2 linked regions of the Drosophila melanogaster genome follow. The protein of the gene in region 2 interacts with the protein of the main gene of each other region in a pairwise test. Each region holds a gene or a part of one and is shown on either strand. Other genes may lie near its edges.

Region 1 (3,092 bases), on a different chromosome or scaffold from region 2:
CTAAAGCGAATGATTAGTCCGTGGGATGAGAATGACTGTATCGAGCTCTTCGATCCGGACTACTCCGGGGGACGCAAGACACCGGAGCTGGACTACACCCAAAGTCATCCGGGTACGGATGAGGAGATAATACTCAAACTTATAGCGTCCATGAGTTCGGGAAAGAACGAGGACGACGAAGGAATTGAGGCGGAAACCAAAGCTACAGATGTCGAGGATTCCGAGGTCGAAGAAGAAGAACCTGAATCCGAGCCAATGGAAACCGCCTCCAAGGAAGCTGAGTCCGAAAAATCGTATGCAGAATATCAGCCAGACTCAGCACAGACAAGCGACGAAAGAGTGCAAGAGCTGCAGGCCGAGAATGCGCGCCTCAAAGCGCAGTCAATGCGCTTGTTCCAGATAGCTTTCAAGTATATTACTAGCGATACCAATGGCCAGGCTGAAATCACAGAGAAGACAAAGCGCAAGAAAGCGCGGAAGACATAGTGAACCTTAAGCTTGCTTTCAATTACGTTTACTTAGGACTTAGGACAAAAATACATGATAATAGAAAAAAAACAGCACTGATTGTGCCTAAAAACGATTTGGATGAACAAAACAATAACTTCTCGTAGAGGGATCTACTTGGGTGCCGCTTCGCTGCCCGCCTGCCCGTCCATGTTGTCATCTCCCGATTCGGGAGCGTTGTCATTTTCCTCGGCAATCAGGCGACGGATCTCTCGGTTGGAGTTCAGCAGCTCCCGTAGTTGGGACATAATGTCGTCTGTGCGCTGCTCCACGGCGTCCAGGGCACAGCTGAGAGCGTCCAGACTGTTGTTCACGTCCTCCATCTCTGTAGGGGTCATTCCATTAGAGCCAATCCCGAGCAGAAACGGGGCGCTGTCAAAACTCACCTTGGAGGTCCGCCTCCTGGACATTGGTGTTGCCAGAGTCGCCGGACGACGAGGGATCATGATTGTTTTTGGGTGACATTTTCCCTGGAATTTTCCCCGGAGTTTTTCCGTTTGTTTTTTCCAGTTGGATTTATTGTCACGGGATAGCTATAAACGATAGAGGTGGTTAGAAGAGAACGATAGGTCTCAGTTCAAATACGATATAAAAAAAAAAACTTAATAGGGGAATTCAGTACATACGTACGTTTTTGTAATTACGAAAACACTTTTTAGCTCAAAACACTAGGCGAACATAATCCACTGCAAAAGTCCAAAGCTAAGTTTCCACTTAGTTTTTAGGGATGTGCCCGTGCCTCGTTTTATTTTTACGTACCAATGGAATAGCATGGGAAATTTTGGCTTATTCGCATATGTCGTGCCTAATTCGTGACACGAACAATGAAACAAATGGTTTACGTATCTCTAGGCGTTGACTGGACTTAATCGAACGGTTCTTTCCCATAGTGCTTAATGTTGATTGGCCAGAGTTGACCCCTTCTGACAATGAACGGCTGTTTAATTTCTCAGAGCGATCAGCGGTCGTACTCCAACGTTTTCTGTTCGCCTGGTGTCTACAGTCGATAATCTTGCCCATTTTGACCGAAATAATTTTGAAGCATCGAATTGCGACAGTAGATTTCTTGTTGCAATCATGAGGCGAGCATAATAAACAGAAAGTGTACTAGCCTCTGTTTCTACGTTGTTTTTAGAGATGTGCATGTATATCGTTTTATTTTCACAACGCAAGCAAATTACTAGGGATTTTGGTATTTGCTCGAGCATGACGTGCCGATTGCGTGTCACGAACAGGGAAACAAGAGGGGTTCACATCTCTTCTGATACTCTTGCTTAAGCTTTGGTCTAACTGTTCACAAGGCTGCATTCCTATTGGTTCAATTGCGACTGGAAACATGCAATATGCGACCATTTTGGAAAAAGAAACTGTTTCTTGATTTTGTCGACATGTATCAGCTGGCTGGCTACTGGCTACTGGTTTCTGAACTCCAGATATTCAGTCGAGAATCGCATGCGAATGCCCGTAATATTTGCTGGCATCAATATTTAATCTGTTGCCTAGCGTGACAGTCGGCCACACTGCACCTCACATAACATAACCGAAAAATGAACAAATGTTTTAGGTGCCAGCCCCGGATATCGCTTTTCCAGTTCAGCGTGAGTCCATGAGTGTGTTGCCTTATAGGATTCGGATTTTCAATTTCTTGTTTACACAGCTACCGCGGTGCTATGCCGCAGTGCAGCCGGGATGTCCACCGCCACAAGAAAAACCCGTCGTCGGTTTGCCACACAAGCCCGATCCCAAGACGGTGAAGTGCGACTATATAGGACCGCCAGACGCGCAATCAAACCTACGTCCGTACGTACGGCACTACGGCGATGAGGAGACGCGGCTGGCAAGAAGCCTGCGTCTTAAGCGGATCGAGGTGGAGGCATGGAACACGGACTTCTGGACAAAACACAATAAGCGCTTCTACGAGGTACAACCACGACCACTGTGCCATCTCTTTCTAGTCCGCTAATGTCGTCTCTTTCGAATTGGTTCGTTTACAGGAAAAGGAAGACTTCATCCGCCTGCACAAGGAAAGCGGAACCAGCGAAGTGTCCGCGGACCAGATGAGCCACTTCTACAAAGCGTTCCTCGACAAGAACTGGCGCATCCACATCATGTACAACATCTCCTGGTACCTGAAGAACTTCGACATACTCACCCTGGCTGCCGCAGTCCAGCTCCAGAGGCTTCTGGCGCTGGCCAAGCGAAGATCTTAGGTGCAATATCTGTCGTCCCCATTTCGTAATTTCCAGTTTGCCGTTTGCAATAAGTTGGAATAAAAGATCACGTGCGTAAAATGGTGGCATAAAATTTACTTAGCTACTATTTAAGGGGATGAAAAATACACGTTGTTCGGAGTTAGTTAATGTACTTAAAAGTAATCGCAAACTATTTAAATAAAATAAAATAGAAGTAGGTGTTCATATCCTTATCAGTGTATATATTCAAAGAAGGTTGCGCACGATACACGCAGCGAAAGAAGGATCGCTCCCCATGTAAAGTGGCCGAATATTGAAAGATAACCGCTACAATTATGATAATAATAATAATGGTAAACAGAGGGGAAGGCACACACGCATAAAGTCAAGTTT
Region 2 (3,362 bases):
TCCTGCTCCGGTTCCCAGCTAACTGAACACTCAGAGAAAATATTAGTAACTTGCCAGCAAATGGTATTAAAAATACTACCTGAACGGGACACGTAACTCAAGACTATTCTATATAGAGTTTAAAACTCTTGGGACATTTTTTTGAGATCTTTTTGAAACCTTTAAAATTTTTTTTGCTGTGCAGCTACAGATTCAACTCCCCAGGTCCAGCTAAGCGCTGGCTAAGAGAGGAGATGCCTGAGCACACTGTCCAGGACCAGGTCCCTCCTTTAACAGGTCCTAACTATGCAAAGCCATGAAACGCAAGTGTCGCAGGGATTATTCATGGACGGGGAATGAAGATGAAGCGGCCAGCGGGCTGTCAGTGACAGGTAAACGGAGAAAAGGGAAACGGAAGGACACGAAGCAGGAAAAGTCGAGGGGGAAAAAAGATTCCTAGGGATAGGATTTAAGAGAGGAGCACATTACTTAAGGCTAATTTCATTGCTGGAAATTCAACTATTCAATCTCGGAGAGGTGTAATAAAACATTTTGTATTTGCTTTCGCGATAAATATTTATTTTCCAGAATAGTGCGATAATAATTGCATATGAGTGAAACATGTAAAGTTTAAAACAGTCCAAATTAAAAAGTCTTTTTGACGCCTTGGCCGGAACAATGGATGTTGCTTGTCTTATTCTGCCTCTGAGTCTTATGCCAATCCATGATAAAGTCTTTGTTGATCTGGGCGACCCTCTCCAAATAGGCGACACTGCCCATGTCGCTGTCCAAAGCCAGGATTTCGCAATAAAGCGAGCTCAGCTTTATATTGCAACGTTCTACGGCGTCAGACAATTCGACTTCTCTGATTTCCGTCTCGTCTAGGAAATGCAATTTAACTTTCTCCTGATTGGTCACAAAACGAGTCCCTGCACCGGGCTTTTTGATCTCCGAATGCAAATCCAGCAGATACTTCTTAAGCTCTTGCAACGCTGCCATTTTCAGAAGAAGTCTGTCCTTTATGACTTTAAGTGCCTTGCGACATTGCTCTGCAGACACTTCCTGGCGTTTGATTAATTCAGCAATAGAGACATTGGAGTTTTTAGGTTCGGACATGAAAACCTTTATACTGTAAATGGGACGGATATTGTGCAGAGTTATGTTCGGTAAGTCCTTGCAGCTGATTAAGTCTGTAAAGTCGAGCATATTGTCGTTATCCATTCTAATTGATATCAAATTTTAACTTATTTTTCTAGCGGTTTATTTTAATAATTTAAATTTATACGAAGTTTCTCAGAAAGCAATATATGCAATGACTACTTTCCAAAAAAATGCTTTGCTATGTGATCGTTTAATTTCCCTTGTTAATTTCGTATATATAACCAATTTTAAGTTTCCTTTTTTCATGTTTCGTCATCAGCAAACGATGAATTTCTATGGATTCACTTTTAAACTTTTTATCCATCGCAATTTTATTTCATTTTTATTTGCGCTTTTTGCGATTTTTATATGCACTAAAAGTCAATTTATTCACTTGACTTAATTTGATTTCAACCTTCAAATAATCCAATAGAGTTTTTGTGCAGTCGTCCTTCACGGTTGCACCTTGAAAAAGGAGTTATTTCTGTTTTGCTGAAAGGATTGTTTACTTAAATGATTGTCAATTTATAAAAAAGTAGGGATCATGATAAAATAAATAATTCGACAACGATTGTTTAAATGTATATTATCTCATACATGTTTTGATTGCATTCTGTGAACAAAAAATTGTTCCGAAAAGCTAAATTAAATTACCTGTTCATCCTTGTATAATATTACTCATACGCAGTGGATGCCCGGGCCATTGATTTAAATTCAAGAAACTCACGAGCAACAGAAGTTCGAGAGAAGCTGCCGCAATCTCAACTGCCTCATTGTTAACCCGCACTCAATTTCGATTCCCAATATGCTCCACATAACCGAGAGTAGGGCTCGATTCTCTATGCCGGTAATCGTACGTGTGGAAAAGACGTCAGCACTGATTGCTGCATAAATGATTGAGCATGTGTGGTTGTGTGCGCCTGTCTTTCAATCCACATCGATGTGTGCGCTTGTGTAGGGCTGGAATGACTTGCCACAGACGAATCCCACTCACTATCAGCATTCCTCCATGCAACAGGACCTGCATCCCAGCGAAAAGGATGGGGTTGCATTATATGAAAATTGATGGGAAATGCCAAAATATTTAAATCTAATTTTGTGCCAGGCTGACAGGCAGCCAGCATTCGCCGAAGCCGCAGGCATTGCATTTGATTTTGATTCCCGTCCAGTTTTGCCAGCGTATTTGGCGACTTTTGCCCTGGCGAGCATTTAAATATTCAATACGATTATATTTTTAAACACGTAGCCTGGGGAAAAAAAGCCCTGACTGAACGACGGTGAAGAGTCAAATGGAAAAGGAAACTTTATTCAAAAGAAAAAATAAGAGAATATTCCTTGATGAAATAGGATTTTTTCTTTTGGAGTCGATTTTCATTTAACCCGATCAGATTTATTTTCATTTTAAATTGCAGTGAATATAGTTCTTTATGGTGCTAAAGATAATTTTTTATGCACGCTCAAAGTCCTTTAAGAAAAATGTTAATCCCAAGCAAATGAAAAATGAAATGACTTCAAAATTACTTGTCATTTTTGTTACATCAATGAGTGTGGCGAGTAAACAAAACTAAGCAATTTATATTATGAGTGTTAATAAAATATTTATAATATTTTATAAAATCTATGGTTATATTTTAAATAATATGTATCATATATATAAAAGGAAGCCTTAAGCTTTCCAGCCATATTAGTGGGAAACGTGTCCACCATTCACGGTCAACCATTTCCTTACGTTTGCTTCCTGACGCGCTTGAACAGAACTTAAAATAGAATTTAAATACCGGCAAATTGTCTGCCTTGGCACCTGTCTGCCCATTCTGCCCAGGACACCCATTGTCATCCCAAGACCCCCGCCCAACACCATTTTTCGGCCATCCAGCCAGCCAACCGTCCAACGATCCAGCGTCATTCGCATTTGCTATTTCCGTTTTGCACGGCCGTGTTGCTGTGTTGGCATTTCATTTAGCGCACAACTTCACATTTGCCTCAGTCGTTGTCTTTCTGCTGCCTTTTCCCATCGCTTGCAATTGCCATTTCCGCTTCCTGAAATTTGCCATTCGTTACACACAGAAGGACACGCCGACACACATACACAGACAGGCACACATACACACACGTGCGAAAAGGGAAGCACTGAAACCGAAACTTAAACAGAAACAGAAGCAGAAAGCCGCTCCCCGCATGCACCGACATTTTCATTTCCATGCTTGGGCGCATCGCAGCGAATCAATTATTCATCATCATCG

Evidence for each region.
Region 1: the proteins of CG15124 (region 2) and CG14818 interact in a two-hybrid assay, tested with the Drosophila melanogaster proteins (2 studies listed by BioGRID).

What each region holds. Positions count from the first base shown.
Region 1 is NC_004354.4:1,878,519-1,881,610, forward strand, and holds CG14818 (uncharacterized protein), read right to left. Parts: upstream 1,257-3,092; 5' UTR 1,138-1,256; intron 1,063-1,137; exon of another isoform or gene 1,041-1,062; 5' UTR 973-1,040; coding exon 894-972; intron 833-893; coding exon 621-832; 3' UTR 501-620; downstream 1-500. Other genes in the region: CG14805 (uncharacterized protein), read left to right, coding at 1-486; Coa8 (cytochrome c oxidase assembly factor 8), read left to right, coding at 2,055-2,105, 2,165-2,428, 2,502-2,717.
Region 2 is NT_033778.4:19,640,876-19,644,237, reverse strand, and holds CG15124 (uncharacterized protein), read right to left. Parts: upstream 1,292-3,362; 5' UTR 1,201-1,291; coding exon 625-1,200; 3' UTR 540-624; downstream 1-539.